Linked DNA regions of Drosophila melanogaster. The protein of the gene in region 1 interacts with the protein of each later gene in a pairwise test. Each region holds a gene or a part of one and is shown on either strand. Other genes may lie near its edges. The genes, in order: CG8272 and SkpB.

What was found.
Region 2: the proteins of CG8272 (region 1) and SkpB interact in a two-hybrid assay, tested with the Drosophila melanogaster proteins (2 studies listed by BioGRID).

The regions. Positions count from the first base shown.
Region 1 is NT_033778.4:8,882,320-8,898,488, reverse strand, and holds CG8272 (uncharacterized protein), read left to right. Parts: upstream 1-7,087; 5' UTR 7,088-7,188; coding exon 7,189-7,239; intron 7,240-7,370; coding exon 7,371-8,630; intron 8,631-8,693; coding exon 8,694-9,452; coding exon of another isoform or gene 9,453-9,515; 3' UTR 9,516-10,085; downstream 10,086-16,169. Other genes in the region: Sec31 (secretory 31), read right to left, coding at 1-100, 167-238, 316-624, 687-794, 859-2,285, 2,436-2,538, 2,646-2,702, 2,845-2,957 and 3 more; DCTN2-p50 (dynactin 2, p50 subunit), read right to left, coding at 5,243-5,427, 5,494-6,415, 6,500-6,535; RyR (ryanodine receptor), read right to left, coding at 10,674-13,353, 13,417-13,618, 13,687-14,106, 14,164-14,298, 14,567-14,867, 15,090-15,435, 15,651-15,760.
Region 2 is NT_033778.4:12,133,335-12,147,791, forward strand, and holds SkpB (SKP1-related B), read right to left. Parts: upstream 6,896-14,457; 5' UTR 6,651-6,895; intron 6,593-6,650; 5' UTR 6,591-6,592; coding exon 6,105-6,590; 3' UTR 5,961-6,104; downstream 1-5,960. Other genes in the region: CG18343 (uncharacterized protein), read left to right, coding at 5,524-5,823; Smyd4-4 (SET and MYND domain containing, class 4, member 4), read left to right, coding at 7,617-7,880, 7,937-9,060, 9,173-9,506; Hen1 methyltransferase, read left to right, coding at 12,426-12,647; bsd (back seat driver), read right to left, coding at 13,368-13,862, 14,001-14,457.

The DNA.
Region 1 (16,169 bases):
CGAAGGCGATTTGCGTGTGGATTTCCATAGCATTGGCATAGTCGGATATTTGAATGTACTGAACTATTTGATTCAGATATTGCACCGTGGTGGGAGTGAGCTGGAATTAAAGTAAATGCCATTTGAGAATTGCAATTGAATCGCGATCTAAGGCAGCAGCTCTCACCTTTCCATCTCTCAGGCAGTCGTAGAGATTTTCGAGCCTCTTGACAACATCGACAAACTTTCGTTTTGTGCGCTTAAAATGTAAGAAAATTTATAAACAAAAGTAAGTTATTCCTTTTGTCTATATGGATCATTTATTAATAGACTTACCGGATCATTGGTTGCGCCCAGGCAGCGGTTCTTCAGCTCCTCCAGCACAGTCTGCAAGTAGATGTACTCCTCGGGGAGTGGTGGCTTCTCCTTGGGCGGCGCCGGTTGGCGCTGTTGCTGGATGGGCGCTGGCTGCTCGGTATAGCCAATGGTTTGCTGTTGTCCCTGCCAGTTTGGCTGCTGAATCCCAGGGGCTGGCTGCTGAGGCTGGAGATATGATTGCTGATGCTGCTGCTGCTGCTGGGGATTGTTGTTGAAGGCAGCCGGGTTGTAGTACGTATTGGGCACTCCTCCAAGTGGTGCTGCGTGCTGGAGAAAATAAATACATTTTTGATCTACTTCCTGACCAATAATCCGCTTTTAAATCCCACCTGATATTGAGAGGGGTCCACATAACCGTTCTGGTTCTGATTCGGGTCGACTGGGAACAGGGGATGGAAGATAGCAGCACTTGGCTCAACCACCGGCTTCGGCTTAGGCTGTTAGAGAAAGAAGCAAACAATTAGGATAAAGCCTATGACATTTCGTATACCAAGTACTTACCGCTCGCGAAGATTTCAGTGCAGGAGGATCGTTCCAGCCAGGTGGTGGTGTGGGATTGCGTTGCACATTCTGGATGACTGGTGGCACAGCCGGCGGTGGCATTGTCTCGATGGGATTCACACCGGGCACGAACTGATTCTGCTGAGCTGGCATGAGTGGCGAAGGGTTGTAAGGTTGGGCAGCCGCAATAGGATTCGTGTTGAACGCGTTGCTGTTGTACGTTGGCACGCTAGCTGGCTGGGGTGCGGGCCCAGGCACTCCTCCGCCGCCAAATGGAACCGCTGATGGAACGGGGGCCGGCACTGGATTGTATGGCATTCCGTAGGAACTGGTTGGAGCTGCTACAGATGGGTCCAAAACGTATTTGGAGCGGCCAGAAAGACCCGATCCGCCGGAGGATGATGCGCCGCCTGCTGGCGGCGGACCACCTGAAGAGCTGGCATTGCTGAGTGGGCGCGGTGGTTGGGCCAGGGGCTCTGGTTTCACAGGCTGCGGATTGAATATCTGCGGCGGAGCCTGAGGCTGCTGGGCTCCTGGGTAGCTTGTTTGTAGTGGAGGCACTTGCGCTGGCCAGCTGGGCTGTGCATACTGATTGGGCGGCTGGCCGTAGGGCATGGGAGCCGAAGGCTGTGGCTGCGAGAACGATCCACGACCACGAGTCGGTTGGTAGCCGTGTGGCGCAGCAGCGACTGCTGCCTGTGGCTGGGTGTAGTCCAGGTTGACAGCGTTATTTATCCGGTCTCGTAGGCTCTGCAGAACATCGCTTTCGCTGGCGGCAGCTCCTCCGCCCAAGGTGGTAATGTACTGCAGGGCTGCAGTCAGAGCACCCTGGGACGCAAGAAGACCGCCGTACTCAGTCAGAAAGCCGGCAAAGCGACCAGCCAAGTCCACGGATATGCCTTGCTGCTCCAACGACTTGCACATCAGCATCACCATCTCAGCCAAGTCCTGCAGCTCTGTGGTGTTGGGCTTGTAGCCGGGGTTCTGCTGCTCCAGCCGCTTTAACTGGTACCACGCGGTGACCAGTTTGTCGATGCTGCCGGCGCAAATGTAGCAGAGCATGGCGTTGCGCGTAAACTCGGCGCTTGAGGCGCACTCACTTAAGAGGCGATCGCCTAGTCGCTCGCAGATGTCCACCACCTTGCGCTCGCTGTGCTTGAGCGCGGCCACCAGGGCCTCCTTCCACGAGTCCACAGTGCATCTGTTGACGAAGTCCAACCAGTCGCGCGATACCAAAGCGGAGATAACGTGCGATAGCTCGTTCTTCTGCTGCAGCAGGTAGCGCGTTTGCGTGCGGTTCAGAGTCTCAATGCCAGCCGTTGAGGCGATAATCAGGGCTTCAGGAATGCGCTGTGCTTCCAGACAGAGCTCCACGGCAGCGTCCACATTGCCAGTGAGTATTGCCTCGGCAATCAGGCTATCCGAGTCTGTAAAGTGTAGAAAACCGATCATTTAACAAGTGCTTACTAGCTGGCAAAGTTAGAACTATTTTGCGCAAAAGAAAAGCTTTTAGGTTATTAATGTTTAGATAAAAAGTTACCAAACTAAGTGAGCACTATACAACATGTATTACTTACGGTCTCCGCTGGGAACCTTGAATTGCGGCCTCGGAGGAGTGGCAAAGTCGTTGTGATTTTGTGAGTCGATTGCATTGCCATCAAACTTGTTATCTTGCGTCTGCTGGGTAAGAAATAACATTTGTATAAGAATACACCTCAAATGGTTCCCAGAAAAAGCTGCTTTGAGTTTGTTGGCCTCGATTAAGAGCCTGGCATGTAAGCTCTTACCGAATTATCGGTGCTATAGTTAGTACTCTGATCACACTCGACCTCAGAAGAGTCGCTCTACGGCAATGGCATAGCATGAGTTATGTTATCGGATAGAAATATACAGAGCAAGATGAGCATACGTGGAAGATCGAAAGTGTGCGCAATGCTGCTTGTTTTTCTTTTTCGACTGATAAGACAATGTCTAATGAGCACTTACATGGGTCAGTGTCGAGATGCGGGTCGTCAGAGTATCCACATCCGAATGCGAGTTGCCATCCGTTTCCTTGATAAACTTGTTGAACTTGCTATCGATGTCGTCTTTGTTGTAGCCTTAAAAGTAAGACAAAATCTTAGCTTAAGTAGCCGCGTACGCAAAGAGAGATCCTACCCAAAAGGTTCAGCATTTCCTCCTTGGGATTAAGCTCGAAGTTCGCCTTAATAAAGTACCAGATGTAGCGGCCATGCTGATCCGGTGTCTCGTCTGCTCGCTGCCGACAGTAATCCGAATAATTGGCATCGACCAGAGAGCGTTCCAGGGCATTAGCCCGGTCCACAAGGGCGGATTCGGTGGTTAGCTGTTGGACCTTGACCGTTTTCGAGGTTCCATTGAAACTGACCAACTTGCCACCGAACTAAAAACGAAGAAATTGATTTTTAAATAGGTTTATAAACTTGTTTACGCCAGCTAACTAACTCCAAAGGCAACGCCACAGGGCCGCTTCATCCATTTGGGAGCGTGCGCCAGGTCATGGTAAACCACTTGCGTGGCCTGCTGCGGAATTGGCTCCTGGGCAAACTGATCCATGCCCGGAAACGAGTCGGCAATCTTGTTGGCGGTTTGCACAAGGTGGTGAGTGCCTCCATGTAGAGAGTAAATGGAAACTGCTCCCTCCAAGCTGGCGCTAGCTATCAGAGCTGGATTACGTGGGCAAAACTGCACATCGGAGTACCACGAGGCAGTGGTGGCAACCTCAGATAGGATTTCTCCCTCTGGAATCTTGGTATTGGGGTTCCAGCAATAGATGCGGTTGTCTTTGCCACACGAAACCATTAGATCGTTGTCCTGCAGGCACCACGACATTCCCAGCACTCCGCGCTCATGAATCTGGTATGTTTTGGCTGGAGCCGTGGCATATCGCAGATCCCACAGCTGCACCACTGGCGCCTGGTCGTCCTCGGAAGCCAGCCACACCTGCGTCGCCGCCTCCGGATGCCACTCAATAGCGTGCCACCTCACTCGCGACTGCGAGTCGGAGAGCTTGATGATCTGCTGACTCTTACGCAGATCCCAAATCACGCAGCGTGTGCTGAACACGGAGGCTAGAATGTGCTGCACCTGCCTGTTCCATGCTACGTTCTTTACGTCCTCCAGTGGTTGTGTCTTGGTGCCGGGACTCATGCTTGTTTCCGGGTTGTTGAGGTCCCAGATTAGGATTTCCGATTCGGAGGCGCATGAGGCCAGCAGGTTGTTCTGGAAGGGATTGAAGTCCAACCCGCTAACGGCGCCTGTGTGCTTGTCCTGGCGCTTCAGAAGCGGCTCCTCCTTGCCTGCAAGCAGCTTGTCGGCTGAGTATATGTTGATCTGCCCCGCCTCGCAGCCGCCCACAATCAGGCCACTGGGGTGTGGTCCCACTGGGGACCAGATGAGTTTTTGGAACCTGCGGGAGGAAAAGCCGGTTATGTGAACGACTTGATGCACAAATTGAAAGCCATAACTCACTTGTACTGGCTGGAAACGCTGGCCCTCAGCTCCAGATCGTATGTGGCATCGCTGAAGTTCGGTGAGTACAACTCCAGAGTGGAATTGGCATTGGAATCGAATTGTTGGGCGGCGGTGCCGGCGGCCAAGAGAATCTGCTGCTGCTGCGCCGGCGACCAGGCGATGTTCACCGTCTTTTGCAGTTCCTTGATCTTCATCTTGCAATGTCCCTTCGTGCTGCTCGTGTAAATAAAGCGAAAAAACACAAATATTATGGGAGGTACAAGTTCAGAACGAAATTGTGTCACGTCCAATTGGAGTAAGCCCCGTCATCACTTTTCCCATTGGCTTCCCCATTGCAGATGTGGCCCAGTAGTGCCCGCCGGCCTTTAAGTATCTTTAATTATGCTAATTGCGCAACTTACACACAATTGTGAATGCAATTTGTACTCGCTTGCGCTGCAACGAGACTTTTTGATCTTGAATTTAACTGGAATCGTTAATATTTTTAAGAACCGTAGGAACGGCCAGTGTGACCGTGCTCTGAGCCAACGTAATATACCACAGGGCACGCACTGAAATACCAAATGCGTGCGACCAGAATATACTGCGAGTTTAACGGTATGCAATTTAAATATTCCGTTTCAATGTGCAATTTTAAAAATAGTTTTTATCAGTATACATTATTAAAAATGATAGTCGAAATTATTTAAAGATTTATTTTCCATCGCATTTTATATTCGTAAACTAGCTTCAGCACTTTTAATATTAATATTTATTATGAACTCATTTTAAATTCCAGATCACTTTGCATTTATTTTTTGACTGGAACTGGACTCGAATGTAGATCTCTTTATTATAGGTATCTTTCATAAATATAAGCTATGTTTATTTAATACGCATGGTATGCATCCACTCATTTGGCAGACGATATGGCCGCCACACGCTGCTCCACCTTGGCCACCTTGCTGTTGATAGTCTCCAGATTCTGGGCGAAAGTCTCCTGTACGGAATGCAGCAGCTCCTTGTTGTTCACCAAGCTAGTGGTGATGGTTCCCTGCTTCTGCTCAATCTCTGCGATGATCTTGGCGAAATTGTTTGCTGCAGAGCAAGTTGATTAGTTACAGAAACAAGCACAATGCTAAAATGCTAAATAGAATTGCTTACCATATTTATGGAGGGCCTCGAGGGCTTGCATGCGTTCGATGACGTGCGGCAGTATTTCCACCACTGGCTCCGTGCGCTTCGCGATGTCGTATAGTTCCGTAATCTTCTGATCTCGTTTGGCGTCCTGGGCACTGCCGCTGGACTTTTCGGCGATAGCATCCATCTTGCCGGCCAGCGAGGTCAGGCGCTGCTCGATGGTGTCCAGTTTATCAGGCTGTATCAGGGCCGCCTTGGTGCTTAGATGACGCACTGCCTCTAGTACATTGGTGGTGTTGGTGGCGGCGGTAAGGCGGCTCAACTTGTCCGGCTGAGCGCCCAGCACCTTCTCCAGCTGCGAGATTCGCTGCTCTAGACTGGCTACGCGGGCCGTGGCCGCCAGATCGGTGCCAGGCGTGGGTATGGCTGTGAGAACGCCGGACTGCTTGAACTCCTCCACCTGGCTAATGAGTGCTTTCACCTGCTTACTTCCAGGCGTCTGCTCCTTGCCCAGCACTTGCTCCAGCTTCAGCGACTCCAGCACCTTTCGGGCCGTGCTGATAACCGTGGCCACCGCATCGTACGACTGCTTCTCCTCGTCGGCTACCTTGCGGTCCACCTGCAAGGCGGCCACCTCGTTCAGAAGCTCGTTCATCTCGATCTGCAGGCGCTGGCACTTCTGCACCGGCGTCTCCTTCTCGCCCTGGCCAACCAGCTCGTAGTCGCTGGAGCCGCGCGTATCGTAACCCCGGCACATGCGTCGTCCAATGCGATCCGTGAAGTCCACACTCCCCTCGACCGTTGCTCCGCTGAAGCGCTTGTGAGCGACGCTCGGCGAGATGTGCAGTCGCTCGATGGCTTCGTTCTCCGGCTCCTCTTCGTAGTAGTCGGATGTATCGAGCTCCGGGTCATCTGGAGTTTCGTACACGTCCGGCTGGTCATAAGCCTAAAAACATAAAGTACATATATGTATAAATGGGCAAAAACGAAAGCTTAAACGTCACTGCCATGGTGCGGAGTTCCGACTTACTATTCCCGGTAGGTTCTGGAACTTGGGATCGGCCATTATTGTGGGCACGTCGACGGCGGTGTTTGGAATCCTTTGGCAACGAAATAATTATAAACCTTCAAAAATCCTTTTTTACAACAATCAATTCGATCTGATGTCATAAAAAAAGTTACCGTGCGCGGTTACCAAACAAATGCCAAAGTGCAGTTGTCATTGGAGTATTTATAAACAGAGGTATCTAAAAAGTCATTTAAAAAAGACAGTTATTACTTGTAACGGCTAATAAGCTAAGAGTAAATAGTATTGCAAAATATATCATCGATATAAATAAATTGTACTTGCACATTGTACTTTGTTAACTGGATTCATAGATGCAAACATTTATAAAAATAAATTAAAGCTTTTTGTGCTAATTTAAACCTATTTTGATTTTAGGAAAAACGATATACATTTAAAATCATTCATAAGCAATAGGTAAATAATTCCATGATCGACTTCCAATTGGTAAATCAATGAAGGTACACTTTTCTTCTGGTATTTTATAGACCAGTGAGGATAGAAAAAAGGCACGGTCCTACTGTACCTAGCACAGGTACTAAGTTAGTCAACACTGTAGTTTTCGTGTAGTTTGCGGGCGAAGCGAGTGGGCGGTGGGAGCTGCTAGTTGGTTGTACTAATCTTAATATTTTGCATCCGAAAACAATAGAGTAATGTCTGGCTTAGAGTACGGGTTGCATAGATACGATGATCTGCCGCTGGAGGTGAGCATATAATGTGAACGGACTGCCGCGGTCCCGTGACCAATCCATCATTTCGAGCGTATCTATATCTGCATATTCATATACCTGTTAGGGCAGTCAGCTGATTTTGTTTTTTTCTGTTCCGCCCCCAGATTGTTTTGAAGATTTTCAGCTATCTCGGCTACTCGGACTTACAAGCGGCAGGATCCACCTGCCAGCGATGGCATGCGGCGCTGGATCAGGCGGAATTTAACCAGCGCACGCGAGTCTGCTTCTCCAAGGTGGTGCTATCGGATCAATTGAGTCCTGGAGTGGATCTGATGCGCTGCGAGCGGCGTTTCCAGCACTTCCTGTTCGAGGACGTGACACTGGGACAAGTAAAGGAATTGATGCGCTTCATGGGCAGGACCGCTCAGTCCCTGGCTCTGGACAATGTGGATTTGAATGACAAACAGTTCTACGGCATGCTGGGCGTGCTGCCCCATCTCCACTCGCTGTCGCTGAAGCGCTGTCTGCCGCTGTTCATGTCCGGCTCTTTCCTGGACTCTTACAACAACTCCTGTCCTGACCTAAACGACCTGGCAAGCAATCTGGCCGGCATCAAGGAGCTGACGCTGTGCGAGAACCAATACCTCACGGATGCCATTCTTATGCGTCTCACATCGTTCATGCCCAGTCTGGAAGCGATTAACATGTCCGGCTGTCACATAGCCTTTCACAATGCTATTCATCGCAGATTTTACCCTGCCACCAGCTCCTCGGATCACGTTTTGCCCAGCGAGTCTGTGCTCACGTTCAAGTTCATCCTCACCATTCTGAACCTGCAGCGACGTACGTTGCGCGTGTTGAACTTTAGCCACACCCTAATTGGCCAGGCTTTGTTGGCCCTTTGCGACCTCAATCTCCAACTGCAGCGCCTCTATTTGGCCGGATGCAGACAGCTTAACTGCACCACAATCCTGAACTTTCTAGCCACACAGCCCCAGTTGTGTGCCCTCGATTTGTCGGCCACAATGTGTGTTAACGATGAAAATCTGGCCGCCTTGGTACAAACTAATCCGCAGCTGGAGCACTTGAAGGTGAACGGCTGCCTGAGCATTACAAATGCTGGTGCCATCCACTTGGCCAAGCTAAAGTGTCTCAAAAGTCTGGACATCTCAAACTGCGATAACTTGACAAGCAGCGGCATCATAGAAGGCATCGCTAGCGAGGAGAATCCGGTAATACAGGAGCTGAACGTTTCATACCTTCAGATCTGCGAGGAATGCATCAAGGCAATTGCCAGTAACCTACGATGTCTGCGATCACTGCACTTGAATCACTGCGTCAATGGAGCCACCGATGAGGCTATCCAGTCGGTCATCGGCCAGCTGCGATGGCTGCGCGAGCTCTCTTTAGAGCACTGCAGTGGGGTAAGACTGAAAGTCGCGATAAATATAAGTTCTGCCTTGTAATTTGGTTTTATTTAAATATAGTTAACCGATGCAGCCCTCACAGGTATAAACATATCCAAGCTGGAAATGAGTCGTAAGCAGTCGGGTTCGCAGGTGTCGTCGATGGACAACTTCTACCCGCCGTACTCGAACACGCTGGCGGAACGAGACAGCCTGGCGGGTTCCCTGCAGTCCATTAAGATATCGCTCAGGAGCAAGGCCGAGGATGAGATTGTTCGGGATGCCCGGCGAAAGCAAGCCATGCTGGCCGCCTACGAAATGAACCTGATACGAGAGGATGATTTCGAGGGTCACAACATTCAGCAGTTGCGGGGATTGCGATCGCTAAACTTGCGTGGCTGCAATAAGATCAGTGATGTATCCCTGAAATATGGGCTGAAGCACATCGAGCTGAGGCGGCTAATGCTCTCGAATTGCCAGCAGATTTCCCTGCTGGGCATGGAGGCGATGGCCAGCAGTTGCCCATCGATTGAGGAGCTCGACCTATCTGACTGCTACAACATTACGGACAAGACCATCCAGGTGGTAACGTCTAAGTTGCCCCGCCTGAAGGCTCTGCACATCAGCGGTTGCAGCCAGCTGACGGAGCACACGCTGGACGCCATTATCACCAACTGCAGCTGCCTGCAAACGCTGTCAATCTATCGATGTCGGAGTATGTACACAGACTTGGAGGAGCGACTATCCGGCGTGAAGACGTTGCGCAACCTGAACATGGACAATCTGACGAGCATCGACAACGCCGAGTTTTTCCGCCTGAAAAAGCGACTCGATTACTGATACTTTGCCGCCATCTTCATTGTCTTGATGTTGTACTACTTTCAGCTGTACAACTTCCGCTAGTCAATCGCCCCAGCCGTCGGAACAACCCCCCACATATATTTATTTTTATCTATCGGCCCCCAGCAGCTGGGCTATAGTTGTGAAAGCTTTAGTCAAATATACATACATATACATATATATGCAGACATATATGTATTTGCATATATGTGCACTTAAATTTACACTAACCGCGCACGTTAGATTAGCAAAATTACAAGTCTCGATTGTAATGCAATTAAATTTTCGTACGTAACGTTTGTCCGCATTCAACTGTGATTTTTTGTAAGGTACGAATCGTATGATAAGTGTACACGATTGTAAATTATGTGATCGGTTGCCAAAATTAAAGTTGTTTGTTTGATTGTTGAGTATTTAACTTGATTTGATTCGTTAGTAGTTATTAAATAGTTGAAAATTTGTTAATTCAGTTTAGGAGAAAAACCCAAAAATGAAGTTTTTGAAAACACATTGTGGTTATAATTACAACAAGTCACTGTCACTTCTTATAAGCTTTATACGATTAAATCGTTAACTGAACTCAACTGACTTAAGTGGTTAATGTATTTGTAAATAAAGATCAAAAATTAAAATAATTACTGAGTAACTTAATGAGTGTCTAGTAAATCGTACAGTTAGTTAAATTTATATTTGAAGAACAATATGCGAGGTATAAACTAAATACATGTTAATCAAATGACTGTTTTTACATTATGGAAAGGTATTCCGAAAATTTACAAGCTTTTGCTCTATTCTTGTAAATAATTCGACTAACCAGCCTTGATATTTGAGATGACAAGTCTTAATGTTCGAAAGTAATTAAATATTTACCCAAAACAAAATTTGTTCTTCTTGACGATCTAAACGGGAATAAATAAAATATCGAAGACCAAAGGGGTTCGTTCAAAATGAATAGATTTATTTCAAAATGAGTTAAGAACATTTGTTGTTATACGTGCTAGAATCGTCATCAATATTTCAGTTTGGAAACAGGTCGTACTCCTCTACGTACATAAAAACGATTGTGTAGGATATTGCTTAAAATACATTGCTAAAGTTGACTAGGTAAAAATTCCAGATGTTGTCAAACTACCGATACAAAATTGGATCCCGAGAGTCCTTGGACCGTCTAGTGCCAGTGTGATTGTGCCCAGAAATCAGACGCGGCGAATCCGCAGTCATTTAGCCGCCGCCGCCTCCGCCGGAAAGCTCATCCTCGTATTGCTTGCGGAAGCAGTCTCCCACTGGGAAGAAGTCCCAGCTGCGCTGCTGGTACATGTTCCACACGTACGTCTCCTGGCCGGTATACTCCGTGTCCGGCTTGTTAATCAAATGCATCAGGAAGAACATGTAGTTGGCTAAGTTGTGCTCCTTCTGGACGTGCGTGTCGAAGCCGTGCGGTACTATGTCGAAGAAGTCCTTGCCCATCCCGCAGATGAAGCAGTTGGACTCCATGTTGTCCTTCACCGACTCCAGTTGGTCACGCAGCTCGCCGAAGGCGTCGATGATCAGACCCTGGATAATGGCCAGCAGAATAATAATAACGAAGAAGAAGAACGTGATATCGAAGATGATGCGGTAGACCTCGTAGTCGTCTCCATCTGGATCCCCGATCTCGTCGCCTATTCCACCGCCCGCTCTCACACCCTTGTACAGATGGAACACGAAGCAGGTCAACATGTCGTGGCACTTTTTGTCCACCTCCTCGTCCTCCTCCTGGATGTAGAACTTCCTGAAGAAGTTGAACGCGATCACAGTGTAGATGTACACTATGATGGTAAGCAGCATCACGGTGAGCACCAGTTGCTTGCCGTTGTGGGTCACAGACTGCAGGATGGTGCGCAGGGTCTTGAAGCCCACGGCCACATCGAGCAGATGGGCGGCGAAGAAGAAGTTGTTGAAGTTACCCATCACCGAGAAGCTGAAGTACCACAGCGAGTAGAGGAAGGCGTTGTCCGTGAAGGTGACGCCAGCCTTCCACACCTGATAGCGCCAGTCGATGTTCATGATGTACTTGAAGATGCCCGTTTCCTCGCTCTCCTGAGCCGCGAACGTGCTCTTCTCCATGCCCAGCAGATTAGAGATCGAATCAAAGTCGTAGGTCTCGCTGTACTTTTGGCGCACCTTCTTCTTCACGAACTTGTCCCAGTAGTTCACCGGGAAACTTTTCGCCGAAATTACCAGCTTGTCCCAGTGCGACTTGAAGTCGTCATCCTCCGGCTGCTCTGCAATGAACAATCCCTCGAACTCCAGCCGGCGGGCAATCTCTTTTTCCCGCTTGAAGATGGCCAATGGAACCTTGAGGTGGTAGTAGGCAATCAACATGGCCAGGGAGACAAGTGAGTGCAGACATGCCGCAATGCGGAGAACGTGTTCCATGTAGAAGAAGTCTTCGTCCACGTGCACAAGTTCCGGTATCTCGTCCTCCATTTCGCCATCGCCCGATCCTCCGTCCCCTGATCCGCCAAACCCAGAGCCCGTGATGTCCGCACCTCCTCCCGACCCGGAGCCCAGGATGAGCTCCTCTTCGGCAGAGCTGTCTGCTTCTTCGGTAAACGAGGTGACTTTGTAGAAGAGCAGCATGAAGTTAATGCTGAAAGCCAGCACCAAGGCCACATACTTGAGGTTGTAGAAGTTTCTGGCGAGGAAGCTAACGGCGCGATGGGTGTACTGAGAAAAGTCGATCTGGTGAACAGCTGGAGTCTCCTGAGGCGCAGATGACGACTTCTTGGCTTCCGCCTCGATGGAGGCCATAGCGGCCTCCTGAGCCTTTTGCGCCTCCTGCCGCTCCTGTGCCGCCTTCTTTGCAGCCTCTCCACCCAGCAGATCCACAATGGAAATGGGCTCCTGGTGTGGTTCACCTTCGACCAATTCGCCGCTGGCAGCTGCTCCGTCCTCGGGACTGGATTCTCCGCCCTCCTCCATCGAGGAATTGGCTGGAGATTCGTGCACCACCACCTTGTACATGCCGTTCTCCTCCTTGTTGATGTCCAGCCCAAAGGCTTGCACCGTGCCCGGTGGTTCTTCAAGCGGCAGCGGTGGCAGTGCTCTTCCAAACGTTTCCTCCTCCACTACCGGTTCCTCCTCCTGCTCTGGAGCAGGTCCTCGCATCAGGTTCAGTAGGATGCCGAATATGTAACGCACCACGCAGAAGTGTGCATATCCGGTATAGTAAAATATATAGAAGATGATCTTGAAAAAGCCGACTATGAGTTCTGGTATGGATTTGGTCTGCATCACTCCGATCTGATGCTTGATGTTCGCCGGACTAAGCATGTGCACTCCGAACTTGAGTCCTTCTTTGACGGCGGTGATGGTGCGGCGGATGGGATCACGAGCGGCTCGCTCCTCCTCTTCCTCGCTCATATAGGAACTATAGGCAGTGTCCCGCTTCACATTGCCACCGCCATCATCGGTGGCCATAAGTCCCGAGGCGTGGGTCATCTCAAAGATGGCGTCCTCGCAGAAGTTCACAAAGGCCTCCAGTTTCTCCTTGTCGCCACCTTCGGTGACGATGGAATAAAAGAAGGCACGCTTGGACTCGCGAATCTGGGGCTTCTCCCACTGTTCGATGTTCGAGTCCTTGATCTCAAAGTAAACGCGCTCGATGCGCTTGGAGCTGCCGAGAATCTCGATGCGGCCCAGGAAGGGCTCGAAGTAGTTGAGCACCGAGCCGGCGGTCTCCAGGAAGCGCGCCAGGCGCGGTTCGTTTGGCATGTGTTCGCTGAGGTTGGTCAGGAGCACAGCCAGGTTGAAACCGATCTCCTTTGATGGTTCGTGGAAGTGCTCCACGAAGGCCCGGTAATCGATCTTGCCCTCGTGGTTGCGCTCGCAGCAGGCCAAAAGGAAATCCATTTCTTCCCTGTAAAACGGAGCGTTATAGTCTGTGATACCCTGTGATTGGCCATACTTTATCTTCACTTACGGTGTGTAGTTCTTGGATTGCTCCATCTTTTCCCTAAAGTCTTTGGGGGTCACCCAACCCTCGTTCTTCATGTCCACTTCGTGGAAGCTGGGCGATTCGATAAGGTCGGCGAGCTTCAGGAACATGTCGAAGTACTTAAGAATCAGCTCCACATTGCTGGCAGACTCCACCAGCGTGTCCACCATCTGCTTGCCAATAGTGCCTGTTAATTCGGATATTCGAATATTAATCTGCATTAGTCATCCAATGTTGATATGCCAGTTCCCATACCGTTAACAACATTTCCTTCCAGCATGGAAAGCATCATGGTGATCATGTCCTTTTGCAGATTCAGCAGTTCCTTGAGCAGATCAACTTGGCTGGAGTGCTTTGACAGCTTGTCCTGCATGTGGGAAAACAGGAAGAGGAAGCCACCAACTGCATCCCACAACCTCGAGTGTGCCAAGGCCTGCTGATTGAGGGTACACGGACCCTGGATGACTTCAGTGAGGGTGTTAAATACTTGGCTAGCCACTTCGATGGCCTTGAAGAAGTTGGCCTTTCCAGCGGGATCGATGATCTCTTTGCTGGAGTAGTGCCAGTAGAAGTCCATGATGGACTCTTGCAGACGAAGCAAATAATCCACAGTACAGATGACCACGTTCACGGTGGTGGTGTTACCCGCCTGGGTCCTCAAATAGTTTTGCCATTCTGTAAGGGATAGGCTCAGAGGTCACATGTTCTCAACTCTCTCCTTCTATAACTCACCCAAGTTGTGGCCCTCGCAGGTCAGCTGGATGAACCGGAACAGCGCACAGGTGAACTCCGCGTCGTGCATGTTCTTCTCGCCCGCGGCGCCTTCGGAACCTACACCAAGACCTGCACCCGCACTCGGAATATACTCTTTGTTCGTGTGACAAATTTGGGTGGATTGGTACAACGATAGCGGGAATCACGTACACGGGATTGGTGGGTTGGTGGTTGGTGGTTGGTTGGTGGTAATGGCATGCGAGGCATGGTGGTGTTGGGTGGTTGGGAAATCAGTTGGAAGGAAGTAGACACAAATCAATAGAGTAATCGAACTTAGAAGTATTCGAACCAAAGATGACGGGCACGGCAAATCAAAGCTGGAGGAGGTGGGTGCGTGGGATCACGGGGCGGATGGACTTACCCTCTGCTTTGGTGTTTCGCTCAAAGGCGTCCAGGTCCAGTACACTGCAGGAGTTCATCAGTCCGGCGATGGAGGTAAAGAAGCCAACGTCCTTCTTTTCCTTCAAGTGGTTCAGCATGCCCATTTGGATGTCGATGTTGCCGCCGCGCAAAATGGCGATGCCGAGATTGAGTGTCGTCATTACCATCTCCGAAGGTATACCTTTGGAGGCGGAAATGTGCAACAGCACCATTTCGGCAACGCCACGATTGGAGAGACGTGCCTGATGGAAGAGCAGCTTCTGCTTCTCCATCTCTTGTTCCTGTGGAGGTATTAGTGAATGGTTTTTAAGGTTCTAATAATATATATAAGATTGGGTCTTATAGCTGTGTATGGGATATATAAAATTATAAAGCCATTGTTTAGTAATTTCAGCCGAAGGAATAGTTACCATTAACTGCCTCATCCGACACTGAATCAGACATGTCGGGTTTTGGGGTTTAAGCTGTTGTTAGTGGGTCTATGTTAGTTGGCATCGACTTACATGGATGCTGGTGCCTTCGCCCTCTTCGCCACCCTCACCGCCTTCCTCGTCGCCGCCTTCCTCCTCCTCCTTGCCCGTGGACTTGGCCGCGATCTGGGCATAGGACATGTAGAGCAGATCCTCCTGGAGGGCACCGCTGCGTTCCGTCATGGCGCCGCGGCAGAAAGTGGTAACCAGTTGGGTTAGCGGATCCGGCTTGCTGTCCGTCTCCTCGCCCTCCTTCTTGGATTTCTCGGAGTCCTCGAACGTCTGCGTCAGATCTTCGACCATCACCTCTTGGCCCACGTTCTCCTCCTGCAGCCACTGCTCGTAGTACGATCGTGCGAAGATGTTGCAGGCCCGATGTCTGGATAGGAATGCGTTCAAAAGTTAGTGATATGTGCCAAGACAGCTAATAATAGTTAGAAAAAAAAAACAATTTGGCATGCATATGGTTAATCAAATCAAGTTAGAGAGCAACAAAAAGTTGAAATAAGAACTGATGCTGATCCTTGGGGTGGAAAATTAAAGAAACTTAGAAGGCGATGAACCAATCGATGCGACTACGAGAACGAGTACCACCTGCTCATGCGATAAAGATGCTTGGCGCGTAAGCTTGAAATGACTGCCTGGCGACGCGCCACCGAGATCTTTGAACCCCACCGCTTGGATCTGTTCTTGGAGCTGGCTGCCTAAGGGATTCGGAATCGGATTGGCAAGTGGCAAGCAAGCGTGCGGCAAGTCCATAAAAATATACAATAATACAAATGGCGTTTAGAACACGGCGCTCACATTAGTGCATTAGCTATTAGTGGGGATTCAGTATCAAAAAAAAAAAAAAAGATCGGATTAGATTGATGCCATATTGAGGACGATGATAAAATGGGCGTTAGGACAGATAAACTTTATAGAACACTAGTATGGTTAGTTGGTTCCCACAGAGCTAATCAATCGGCAATCTGCAATCTGTAAGATGCAATCTGTTAACTGCAATCGGTAATAACCTGGGTAGAGAATGCAGCGATGTCTGACGGAAGCATGCGATTACGGCACGCTTCCTTTGGATCGACACAACGCTCCTGTAGACATTCTTGCTCTGCT
Region 2 (14,457 bases), 3.3 Mb from region 1:
TGGCCGGACCTCGCATTAATTTGATATACACAAAAACGGAGTTTTCGACCGGCTTGATGTGTGAATAACCTGGACACTATCAACCTGCTAGAAGTTTTTCTTTTTTGTGCCCCAAAATAAGATTTTTAAAGCAAACTGCTGCTGCGCTACACATAACCATTTCCTTGGCGATTTAATGGAGGCATCAGCGTTACCATTTTGAACGTCATCGCGGTATATAGCCCAACCCAAGCCAAACCCAAACCCAACCCATCTTATCTCATCCCATTTAATTTTATCTCGTCTTGTCAGCGAAGCGTACAGCATGCAGCCCACTTTTCGTCTGCTTTCCACTAATTAAATCCGCTTTCACTGCGGCCATGGCTGCTTCTACGCGAATGTGAATTTTTACGCTCACTTTTATGCGGCCGCATGGCATAGCAAAATATAGCATACTTCTCAGCGCTGGCGCCATAAATCAACGCTGGTAAATCAAAGCGCAAAACCAAACTGACATGCATTACGTATTTATATCTGGGCGAGAGCGGGCTAAAAGGCGGCGTGTCAAGGGCCATGCAGTATGCAAAACATTTAGATATTTATATGAGCATATATATGAGCATATGCTCACCATATGCATATATATATACGTACATAGGTCCCAGTAAGTGTTTGCTGGATGTCCTTTGGGTGCTCTTGGTCCTGGCTTTGTTGCCCCCCTTTTTTTATGGCTTTCCAGATGCGAGTTGAACGAAGGCGACGGCTTTAAAATGCAATAAATGGTGAAATGTTGAAATGCTAAAATACTGAAATTGGCGGAAGATATACTATGTAGGTAGATTTTCCGATAAATGCTCGGCACAGAGATGGTACCGCCGCGGTCAATGGGTTAAGTGCTCCAGACACGCGGTTAACCACACCAACCAGATACATACATATGTGCTGAACCCAACCGAACTGAGCTGAACTTTGGATCATCATGCACAGCAGCGCTTTTACGCTCACCTTTTCTAAGCTATTCCGCATCGCCACCCGCTGATGCACATCGTCAAATTTTAACGAGCATGTTGTACGTGACCTCCGCACCTCCCTCCCCAGCTCCCAACTCCCTTGCTCCCCGGTGAGGTGACGTCATTGAGGATTCAAAGTCGCCGACCGGCAAATGTCATATCAATAGATGTGGTCTGGGGTCTTTAGCCCGCCCACTCCAACCTTTGAAGCACGCGAACGCCATTTGGAGGCACATGGATTACTCCGATCGGGTCGTGACCCCTTAATACATCTGCCCATAACTCGAAGCCCTAAAGCGATGTTGAGGACAAAAATATATATTCTTTGTAATAAATACGTTATTATAGAAAATGCTTCTTCTAAGAAAACCAATCCCAGCTAAAGCACAAAAGTATTTTTCAAGATACAAGATTTTAAATTTAGTTTTCAAAAACTTTGTATACTTGGAATAATCGTTCCAAAAAACTACTACGGTTTCAAATGCATCCTTTTGACGTTTCTTTAGTTTCAAACTAAACAGTTAAGCGGATGTCCAAGGGATCTCCGACTTTCACATCGCAATAAGCAACATAAACGATATTTGCGTACGCTTTTTTTTTTTTTGCTGGGGGAACTGCGATTGCTTTGTGCTTCTTCTTTGGCTTTATGCGAGAAAACGAGTGTCGACGACATCGTTTGTCGGGCAAATTGAAATTTTATTATAGTCAGCTTATGTGTGCCGTACAATAAATTCTCATTTTGTATAACCAAACAACAACGGGCCCAACAACATCAAGATTAAGTTGGAGAAAGCCAGGTGGGGGCAAGTCAGGTGCGTCAGATGGGCAGGTGCGTCAGGTGAGCTGGTGGCTTGATTGAATTGACACGACGGAGTGGAGGCCACATGGCATCCCTCACTTGGAGCCGAAGCTGAAGGAAACTACTCCACTGCCGATTCACCTTTGATATTTCAATATTTCAGGCGGGGAAAAAAAGTGGCAGCTTAAAATTGAATGAAAATACTGAAAATATTAAAATGTGAAAAAAAAAATGTGAAATAAGGAAAAAAGGAAAGTGTAAAAATAATATACATAAATGATTCCCGTTGACTGCGCAATTTCATTTATTTGTGAGTAATTTCATTCAGCCCATAATTTCATAACGCGCTGACATTTAAGCGCGGATAAAGGCCTTTTTGGATCTCTGGTCAAATGATTCGGGTGGATCCATTAAGCATACACAAAGGCGCGTCGGAGCCCAAAAGGATACACTCGTATCCTTTGGGCCAGTGGCTCTTTTGTTTGTTCTTGGGCTTCTTGTTATTTTCCTATGCCCGCCAGCCTTCCTTTATTTCTTAGCCCATTTTTCCCCGCAGTCTGCCAGGCGAAAACTTTGCTTTGGCCCTCGAATATTTTCGAGTGGCTCCTTACGGCCACTTCCTGTGGGAGAACCCTTGCCACCTGTTGCTTCCCGCCACCTCAAGTTGAAGCTCTACGCCCGGGACGCAAAGCAATTTTGTGCGCGTTTTTTTCGGCGTGCTCATTAATTAAAAACAAGTTGACTATGTCAAATGACTTTGCCCTCGGCGAGCAACAGACTCGTATACTCGGATACTCAGATACTTGGATACTCTCGCCACTCGAGAGTCTTCCGTCGCGAAAAGGTCAGCTCTGAGTTGCTAAAGATGTGGCTGCCGGATCCGATGCACTTTACAGGTGACACGTGTCGCTCGCCCAGGTGAAGTGGGCCAAAATGGGTAGCAAAGTGCAAGAGCACTGCTGGAAGAGATGGGAGACCAATCTAATGGAAAAACAGCGAAAGGTGTCAACGGAATATAGTGTTCCCGATGAAAATGGCAATGGTGAAGCTGGCATATGTACACACACACACTCTTGTGTGTGGATTGTCTGCACGCCACAGATTAAATCTGTTCGGGAACTCCGTGTGCTTTGAAGTGCTTTAAATATTAAATATTAAGGGATTTCTAGGAATTTGTCAAGCTGCCGAGCGAGGAAAATCCAGAGCGGGCCAAAATGATGTGGAAACGAAAGCGGGCGTTCGTTCATGGGTGGAATAGCAAATGAAAGGAACCGGAAACGCTCAGCCAGAAGTCGAACGAGCAACAGGAAGTGCCGGCGAAACAAACAAGCAAACAAACAAACAGACAGACAGACAGACAAAGAGGCAAAGAGGCAAACACACGTGGACAACAGAAGACAACACTTTTATGAAGCCAGCAACAAAAGCCAGAAATAATAACAAGCTGGCTCTAGCAGATTGTGGCCATCCCTTCCCGTCACAGTCGGAATGAAATATTTTGTATTTCATGCACACTATTCTACACTTTGTCGTCCACAGAAACAAGGCGTGACACAGTTGTTGCACTTACAACACCCTCGGACACACAGAATCAGACCAACTGGCTTGGGCCAGCAAACGGAGATGGCCACTTGGATGCTCTACAGATGGTGGTTATCACTGTTTCCAAAATGGCACAAAAATTTACAGTTCTTTCCAAACAAAGAAACTATAAATGAAGTTCTTCTTAAGACGTGCGATTTTAAGCAAAGCCAATTGGCCCAGTCTGCTTTTCAACACATTTTTAAAAGATCTTAAGCTTGCGCACAGTGTGTAAGCTTCTTGATCTTTCCAAAATTCAAGATCAAAACAAACGGTTTATCTTGCATACTTTACTACAGGGTGACCTCTATCATCCAGTGCTGTTAATTAACTTATTAGCTGTCTTTTCAACTTGGAACTGTGCAACCCAATGAATTATATAGTGCGTTGGCATCACTGTCACCACATGGTCACATGGTCGTGGGGTCGTGCCTTATTTATAGCCCTAGAGCCCGTCCTCCTGGGCTTTGTGTCAAAGTCAGGCTGTCAGTTGCATCAAGTCGAGTTCAGTTCCCTGAAGTTTCGTTTCTAGTCCAGAGTGCAGTTGCAGCCCAGTTGGACATCTGTTTGCACTTTCCGCCTACGTCCTTTGTCCAGTGTCCACTTTTTCATATAGTTTGCGGCGGAAAAGCTGCGTGGCAAAGAGCATGGCTAATAACAGGTTGACAGAAAGAATAGGGAAACTGAATTTTTGGTAAAATCGCTATGATCTAAAGCATTTTAGGTCTAGCTGCTCTCATGGTTTCACACCCACTGTCTGTAAGTAATAAGTACAAATATACATAAAAGACCCTACTTTGCGCCATTTATTCACATTTGTAAGCTGGGTGGGCGACTTGACTGCTATTTAATTTTAATTTTGCCGGCGAATAGTAGACGCAGTACGTTGAACCGAATGAGCTCTAAGAAAAATAAAATTGCTCGTTCGCCTGTCGTGATTGTATTCTTTTTCATTTTTGAAGCATCAGTTTCAGGTATCGTTTTGCACGGCAGCCATTCCCTGGGGAATCCCTGGGATTTAACAAATTTTCAGCCAGTTCAATGCACAGCGTTGAAGTTTAAAGGTCGCCATTACAATTATGGCCAGGTTAGCTTTAAGACACTGTAGTTTGAAAAAAAAAATGGGTTTGGCCACTTTGATAACTCGAGAATGGAACCATCAGTGCGGCATAGCAGTTTGTCTTAGTACTCCAATTTAAATGCACGTTATCCAGAGAACAAACCACAATTTGAAAAAACACCTATACTTCATACATTATTGTTTAAGCTGTATTTTATTAGTGACATTAATTGCAATAATTAGCTGTGCGGTTGCTAATGCTGCTAATTTAAAAACTTTTCATAAATTTAATCAAACGCTCTTGGTTCTGGTTGTGATAAGTGAAACAGCATTTATTGATAAAGTGCGGTTTATTTTAGAACTTATTTAAAAATTGAAAGGTACAAGCTATTTTTAGAATATTTTGGACTTCCTGCCGATGCCAAGCATTAAACACTTATAGGTTGTAAACAAAAAGTTTTGCATATTTAATAAAACCAATTATGTATTTTTTATGTTTTCGTAGCTATAATTAATTTTTTTGTGATGTACTACACAATCGCCGAACATTAAAAACCGTAGACTATCACATACCTCTTACTTATAAAGGCTTTAGACTTCATCTTTGTCGCGGACCTGTTTGGGGCTATCGACAGTTAGTCAAGACCCAATTTAGAGCCGCTAGAAGTTAGAGATATTTGAGTCAGGACTTTACTCCGTTTCGATTTACTCCGTTTTAATCTCAATCTTAATCTCAACTCTCTAGGATCTATTGTTTCTGAGATCCCGACATTTATACGGACGGACAGACAGGCGTACTCGGCTATTGATCCTGATCAAGAATATATATACTTTTTATGGTCGGAAACGCTTCCTTCTGCCTGATACATAATTTTCAACGAATCTAGTATACCTTTTACTCTACGAGTAACGTTTATAAAAATTCTATCCATTTCTCATACCTCGATGTTTTGAAAAAATGCAGTGCTGCCACTACGATCGAAATGCGGTCACACTAGACAGCTGATTTTTTCCAACTGGAAGATTTGCTTTGCACACTGGACAAAGGAAATGTCCCATTTGTCGGCTTATCCAGCATATACGTCAGTCTAAACATGGAGAAAAGCTGCAGTATTGGCAACGGACGGGAGCAATACGGCTGGGGACATGGCGAACAATGCGGCACGCAGTTCCTTGAATGTGTCTACAGGAACGCGTCCATGTACTCTGTTCTGGGCGATCTGATCACATACGTGGTGTTCCTGGGGGCTACGTGCTACGCAATACTTTTCGGCTTCCGACTGTTGCTGTCCTGCGTGCGAATCGTCCTCAAAGTGGTTATCGCCCTCTTCGTCATCCGATTGCTGCTAGCTTTGGGCTCCGTCGACATCACATCTGTTAGCTATTCCGGGTGAAGTGACCAATCTGGCGAATGCCATCGGGACCACGGCCTTTAAACTACATTAACTAAATCAAATATAAATTCCAAATTGAAGAACACTGTAAATTACATTAAACGGTTTGTCATTAATTCCTTTGTTAAAGAGCACTTGCCAACATTAAAGCATAATATTTTATTTAATTAACCCAACAGAACAATTGCTGACTCTTAACATGATCAGCTAACTATCTCAATTGAAATGTTGATTAAACAAAAAATTTAAGCTTTAATTTCGTCATGGTAAGTTGATGGTATTCATTTATCCTCACACCACTCGTTCTCCTTGCGCACCTGTTCCTCCTCCTGTGGCAGAAAGTCATTCTGGATGGCGAAGGTGTCGCGAATAGCCTGCGGCGACTTGCCCTTGATCATATTGGCCACCGTCTTGCAGGTGACGTCGAGCAGACCCTGGATATTCAGGTAGTTTGCCGCGAGGATCAGTTCGAACAGCGTGCCCTGGTCGACTTTGAGAAAGTCAGCGTCCCAGGATGAGATGTCATCAGTGCGCTTCTCCTTGTTCTCAACCTCTTCGGTAACCACAGGATCGTCCTTGTGATAGGTGGCCCAGTGGAGCACTTTCTTCAGGATCAGCGAGTTGACATTCGGCAACGGCAGCACACTGTTGTCGCTCTCATCGCCCAAATCCTCTATTGCAATGCGAATCGTTTCCGAGCACTTGGCGATCTCCTGATCCGTGTCAAAGATCTCCTTGTCCGCAGACTCCAGCCGAATGATGGGCATCTCTGCGTAAAAATTTTTATTTTTGCTTATATCTATATTTTCAATTTTATTCGTACACACCTCCTGCTGATTTGGATCCCAAGATTTGATACGAAATCGGTTTGATTTATTTGCAGACGCAGCCAAACAAAATTTTTAGACACAACACGATGTCACTTAGCTGTGGCCTACTGGCTAAAAATAATATTCCCTTGCCTTCAACTTGAACCGGACTGGTGCGGCGGCCGCCTGAGAACAGAGCGTTTGTTAAATAAAGAACTTGGCTGCCAATAATTCCCCGGATTCTTAGAAAACTAGAACGTCGTACGATTTGAAGAGGAAATTTGTTAGTGAAACGGCCGCCAGTGTGCACATACTCGGAATGGCTTTAAAAGATGGCGCCTATTACAGTTAATGGTGTGGAGACACTGTGACAGCTAGCGGTAAACAAAAGCTCAGTTATATTTTTTTATAATGTATATATATATATTTTTTTTAAACATATATATTTTGGCACAATTCAAGCGTGCTGGGCGTTGTATTATTTAAACAGAAACCTACAAAATTCTGCCTTTATAGTTAGTTTTTATCCTGTTTTTATTTAATGAATTTCAAATTTCAAATATTTTTGTAAACAATTTTAAGCTAGGCCAAGGGTTTGTGTCGCGGCTAGTGCAAGCAGTCAACTTGCGGCATTTTTTAGTACATTTCCCTCTGTGCTGGGTTATATATTCGCAGGCTATACTCCACACTGCTTCCAGCGGAATCGTCAAAAAAATAACATTAAAATCGCCGTGTGCATAATTAGAATATTTCCGAATAGTAATCGCCCGTGAAATCGCTAATTAGCGGTCAGCACTTGCGCCAGTTAAAGAAATCGCGGCACCGGCAGTGGGCCAAAAGAACATTTTTTCCGGCTGAAAAAAACAGGCGGCGGCGTCGACACGCGGACCGAACCAAAGGATCCGAAGCCATCCGATCAGATCTAATCCGATCCGGAGAAAATTCCAGGACACTAAGGACTTCCGAAACTACCCCGCACAAGAGATGGACGTGTACGACGTGAGCGATGATCTGATAAAGAAGCTGCAGGACTGGAAACTAATCGGCATCATATCCGGCAAGTTCAACGAGCTGAAGGAGAACCATCGCAAGGTTGACTTCGTGATGCGCGCTCTTATTGACTTCAAGTACATTGAAAAGATATTCCTGAATGTAACGCTTCGAGAGGACAAGTGCAACAAGCGGAGCGTGGAGTTCCGTATGCTGGGCAACGAGCAGTTTTCGCTCAAGAACAGGAATTACTTCCAGGTAATCATTGCCCCCTCAATCGGCAAACTTAAGCTAATCCCTGCGACTCGTTTCAGGCTCTAGAGCTGTACAACAAAAGCATCTGTTATGCCGAACCGAATTCGGAGCACCTGTCCATCGGCTATGCTAATCGGTCGGCGGTACTATTCGAGTGGAAGCGCTATCGGCAATGCCTGGACAATATCAAGCTGGCAAGGCAGGCCAACTATCCGGCGAGACTGAGCCACAAACTAGACAAGCGAGAAAGGGACTGCCAACAGCTACTCGATCAGCAACCGCCGGATGTGGTGCCCTATGAGTTCAAGCTCAGTTTCGAACCGCATGCCCAGGTGCCCTTCATCGCCGACTGTTTGGAGTTGCGCGAAACCGCCGCCGAGGGTCGCTTTGTGGTGACCAATCGGGATTTGGCCGTTGGGGATCTTGTGTCCGTGGAGGAGCCCTTCTGCTCCACACTGCTGACGCCGATGCGATACATTCGGTGTGCCACCTGCAAGCGGGAGAACTATCTGACCCTCATACCCTGCGACAGCTGCTGTTCCACGATGTTCTGCTCCGAGGAGTGCAAGTCGATTGCCATGCAAACCTATCACCGCTACGAGTGCCCCATCATTGACTTTCTGAACCGCATGTTCAACAAGATCCACTGTATCGCACTGCGCACCACACTGGTCGCGCTGAATATCTTTCCCAGCATCGAGGAGCTAATTGACTTCTGTGAGCAGGAGCAGAACCAGGACAAGTGCGCCTTTGACCTCAACTACAACGAGCTGACGCCGGAGGAGCACTACCGGGCCATCCATGGACTGGTGACAAACCAGCACCTGCGCTCCGTCTCCGATCTCTTCCAGCGCTCCGTGGTCTGTGCTGTGCTCAAGCACTTCATAATCGAATACACACCCGTCAAGGAATATTTGGGCGGCGAAGAAGGCGTGAACTTCTTCACGGACCTCCTGTTCCGACATCTGCAGACATCTCCCTCGAATATGCACGGCATCGACCTGGTCGAGCAGGTTAACGAGACCAAGGACGACCAGACGCACTCGTCTGGGGCGTACGCCTTCCTCTCGCTCATAAATCACTCTTGTGCGCCGAATACTGTAAGGATATACGAGGGCACCAAGGCGTACATGTTCGTCCTGCGGCCTATTAAGGCGGGAAATGTGCTCTACGACAATTACGGGTAAGTAGTAACCAAAGCATTCTGACCACACCACTTTAGTTCAAGCTAATAGGGGTCCAAGTCACTGCAGCTCTCTTCAAATACTAAAACTAATAGATATCCAACTTTTTAGTGCTCACTTCGCCATCTGCAGCAAGGAGCAGCGTTTGAAAAGGCTGTCCCTGCAGTACCGCTTCGACTGCAAATGCGAGGGCTGCGAGCTGAACTATCCTATGTTCGGAATGATGCCGCACAAGGCGACGGTGCCATCGGTTACCGATGACACGGAATTGGCACTGAGCTCCTACAACTATGATTTCGCGGTGAGCAACTATCGAAAGTACTGCGACTTCCTCACGCAATACGGTGACGACTATCCGTGCGAGCAGATTAGCTCCGCGGAGGAGTGCCTAAAGATGGCCCTGCATATCATGGCGGACGCAGTGCCGCTCAAGGCGAAGATGTAATCGGATCCTGCCGCTGAACCAACCCACACAACCAACACGGACGAACTTTTCCTTTGCTAACTTTAACTGGAGACAGCGTATTACAAGCGAGACACAAATCAAGGAGAGTAATTGATTATACATACATGTTGTTGCCATAAGTCTGTAGCGCAGGCAGCAGCGCGATGGGGAGGGAGCATGCCCTTAACTTTTATATTTGTAATTGTACATTTTCGACCTTTGATTATGTTTTACCCCGCACCAAGCCCGCACACCACACCCACACAACGCCCAGCACACCCACACAACGCCCAGCACACCCACACAACGCCCAGCACACCCACCACACATTTCACAACAATTCGAAAGTTCAAAATTCTAAAGTTTATTTATTTTTTGATCACAACAATGTCTTCGATGAAAACAAACAAACAAAGGATTATTATGCAACCTACGTCGTTTTTATAATTATTTTACAAAAACCAACTGAAGCAGAAATAAAATATTTTCAAAACGAAGTGACTTTGGCCTCAAGGCATTTTGCTGTACAGGTCCAGCAGGTTCTGGTTCAGCAAGGATCCTCCCCGGGACATGGACGTCGCCACCTTTTCCGAGGACGATGCCGATGTCGTGGGCTGCAGCTGTACAAACTCGCAGCCAGAGGAGCTGGCCGCTGTGTCATTGAAAAGCACATTGCCGAAGGCCTGCTCGAACTGCTGCTGGAACTGGCGGGCGTTGATGGGCTGCAGATCCTCACTTTGCGCCGGATTTATGTTCAGCTGAGCGGCCAGCTGATCCATGCTGTTGGGCTCCCGTTGTTGGCGCTCCCGCTGGTCGGCACTCTTCGCATAGATATTATCGCCGGCTGACTCAACGTATTCCGCGTAGTAATCTTGATCCACGTCCCTGATGAAACTACCGTCCATGGCCTGAAAGCCCATGCGAATCAAAAGCGATATCTTTGTGTTAAAGCACTGCAGCCAGGCCCGATTCGTCTGGTAGATGGACAGCTGCGCATCCTCACCGCTGGCATTCCAAAAGTCCAGCAGCGTGTTTTTCGTGAAGTCAATCAGCATATGCCGTTTGGCATCCGGATACAACCTGTTGATCGCCTCCAAGTGCCGAAATGTAATCTCCAGCAGATGGTGCTGATGGCGGGAAACGAAAAGCTGCCACTTGTAGACCATAGTCATCAGATTCCACAGCTTGGACATCGACTGCTCGTCGAGTCGCATCAAGGAGCAGGTGGCAATGTCGTTCAGCATAAACTTGCAATGCTCGGCGGTCAAAAGCTGCGCACTATTGTGTTTCGATCCGTTTAGGAGCGAGTCTATAAACTTTGGTTCGAGCAGCACAGAAGTCACATCGTGGATAACTGGTGGAAGATATATATATAGTGTCTTTTAAATTTGAATTTGAATTTGAATTGAAGCATATAGCTATGCAGAAGACTCCAAGGCTCTAACTTTAACCTTTACCAAAGCTTGCAAGGACGACTCTAGCATCTCAAATGTAATATCCATGTTCAAATTTCTTGGCGGGATTTCTTACCCTGGACCGATTTGTCCTGAGCAATCTGCTGCGCCTTCAGCCGCTGATCGATCACGTAGAGCATCTCGCAACCGAGATTGACCAGGATGAAGACATTGGCCCGGGGATTCTACAGCTGGCGTGGACTAAAGTTGGCCATCGTTTGACGGGCTACTCGATGGCACGGGCGGCGATTGCGAACTAAACTGGAAAACCGATGACTTCGTCGAGCACGCAAGGCTCGGAACCCAAAACCGTTATTGGATTTTCGGTTTCCGTGCGGACTGCCGGCCCCCATTTACACGGAAAACAAATACGTAATCGTTTCGTATAACATCGGTTATAAAAAGCTAAAGATCCAAACTTGATTGTTCGGTATAATCAGAAAACATTCTTCAATATGTTTTCTTACTTAATTTTTTGAATAACCAATAAGAAAACGAATGTATATGTGTATATTTTGTAGGCTAAAAGGGTTTTGGTCTCATTAACTCATCATAAATATACAATATAAGTTGACCTTTACCATATATCCACTGGGCGTTTTTTCCAGTGTCCTTTCGCATTTGATGGCTTTATGAGAGCCTCGGCAACGTCTTTCAGTGCAAACAATAACGAAAGTCTGTCCGTGGCGACAGGACAGGCCGTGTATAATTATGGCAGCCATGGTGGGAAGGACGAACCTCCACCAGCGCCGGGCAATAAATTTTATTGATTTGTAAATTTCCATTTCAAGCGCAGGGCAATGGTAATTAGCCTGGAAATTATGGCAGCAGGTTAAAAAGTTAAAGCGCTTACCCTATTATACATATGTGTATGTCCATCACAACAGGATGGAAAGCTCCCACGACCAGTAGACCAGCAGACCTGTCTGCTAATTCGTTGGTCGGGCGGAGTGGTTGGTGGTTGGTGAGGTCTACCACCAAGTTCCAGTCCAAATGGGAGGCAAGCACCTGCAGCGAAGGTCGTCCGGAAAGGATGCCGGAAATTGCGTGATTCCCCTACCACAAAAGCTACACTGGTTTGAATTTACTACCTAGCATTTGAAAAAAAGATCGCCAATTCAAATAGCAAGATATTTACATATATTGCTTAAATTGAGTTGCCGCATTTAATTTGAAGATTTCAATGCATCAATTTTCAAAACAGGAACTATCGAAAATATCGAATTGGATTCGTATTCTAGAAAGGCTTTAAAACCATTTGAAAATAGTTATGGTTAGGTATTTATGATATGATAGTTCCTACAGAAAAAAGGACAAATGAATTCGTTACACAAAAATGACCGCCCCTTTTTTTGAAAACAGCACCTATCGATATACAGATAACAAAGTTCTGGGTAGTTTTCCAAGTGCAGTGACAGTAAGATTTTCGTCACGGATTCCAGTGGTCACTCTAACGATACGGGCAATGTTTTCGCACAAGTTTATTTGCGGGTCCTTGACCAAAATGACTGAAACCGGCATTACATTCGATCCGCCGGTGTACGAGCAGCGATATTGCGCCACAATCCAAATTCTGGAGGACGCCCGCTGGAAGGATCAGATTAAGAAGGTCGTGGAGTTCGGTTGTGCCGAGATGCGCTTCTTCCAGCTAATGCGTCGCATTGAGACCATAGAACATATTGGACTGGTAAGAGCTTGACTTCGACTGGTAATGAAACAGGCACAAGTTGATTGTTAAGGAAATACATTTCTAGTTTATTTATTTCCGCTGCTGTTTATACACGCATATCCTAGCTTAGATTTGTATTGTTTTTATGAAATAACCATTATCTAGTTATATTAAATACTTTTTGAGGAGAGTATGTACCTGGCTGCATGAAATGTGGGTGAAACGAGTCGTACATGTGGTCTATAATATGGTTGTTGATAGCCTAACGAAACTAACACAAAACTCGAAAATAAATGTAATATATAAAAAATCATGGATTTCCTATCAAGGCCAATGGCGCACTGCTCCTGTGCACCTGCTAAACATATAAACATCTCTTACATCTGGGGACTACTCGTACATGGTATAATGGATAATTCAACAACATCTTCCCTATGGAGCTGAGAGTGCCAATCAAAAAACCTAATGTCAACTTATCGATAAAATGTTTAAAAACCAAAATTACACAACATGTTGTCGGTCTCACTAGTTCGTGTCCATGCCTCGCCTGCCGACAGGTCCGAAGTATGATTATAAGTAGGATCTGTCCTGTTCGTTCCTTAATTACCACTAAAAATACTTGAAAGCGAATTTAGATTTATTCTTTTCCGTTCCGTTCTGTTCTGTTCTGTTTCCATTTATCGTCCGACTTCCTAATGATCCGTCTATTAGTCCCTATTTCTAAGTGTCATCTGGCAATTATTTGCGACAGTGTCTGGACGAGTGGACACTCCGCCCCTTGCCGTAGTTGTTCTCGTCATCGTATTCGCCGTACAGGTTCTGCACAACGAGCAGACTCGAGTTATTCTCCGCATCGTGCTCGCCGTGTTTGGGTTCAGTCTTATAAAGAGCTCTGCGCGTACGGCCTGACTTCAGCTTTCGCTCTCCCTCGCCGGTGGCCGATGCCAGAGTGGAATTCTCCTTGCGTGTGGCGCAGCCACGTTTGTTACTGGCCACTGCCGATAGCGGCGTAGTGCGGTTCTTGCTAACGGCTCCGGCGGCCAGTTTGACGACGCCCGAGTTCTTGCCCGGACGACCCACTCCGCGATGGACCTTCACCGGCGGCTGGTTTTGGTGGGGCTGGGCCTGCCTGCTGGTGGTTTGCTTCCGAGATGTGCCCTTGGGACGACCACGCGCACGTTTCTGGGAATGATCGGAGCAGTCACTGCCCTCCATTGATCTATCCGATTCATCCTGTGTTAAATAAATAAACTTTATTATAATAGCTCTATTGAAACTTCGCCAAAAAAATCGTCCAACCGAAATACACGTTGCTCATCTTTTTTTAGCTGGTTAGATAAATGCATATGCATATTATTTTATGAATGTTACCTCGCCTTCGGCGCTATCTGCCGCCTCTCCATCCTCCTCTTGATCAATGTCCATTGCCTCCTGGTTCTCCTCTTCATCGTCTTCGTCTGCGTCCTCCTCTTCCTCCTCAATATGCTCCTGGACAACCAAACCCTTTTCGCGACGCCTCTGCTCCATGTCTAGTATCGCGTAAGTGGGTTTACCTTCATAGCGCCTTGGAAGACGGGATTCCAGCGGGCAGATGGTCTCCTCCCGCTCAAACTCCTTCACTGCCCTTTCGCGGGCTATTTGATCAGGATCCTGCGATAGCACCTCCGCCCACGAAAACTTCTTTTTCGTCGTTTTCTTATTCGACTTGGAACGCAGATTCTTGGGCGACACGCGGTTCGTAAGTGAGTGCTCCTGGAACGGAGTGCTTAGCGTTGAGTTTCGCATCACATTCACGGCTGCCTTGTTGTTCAGCTCGAAGATGTCACAC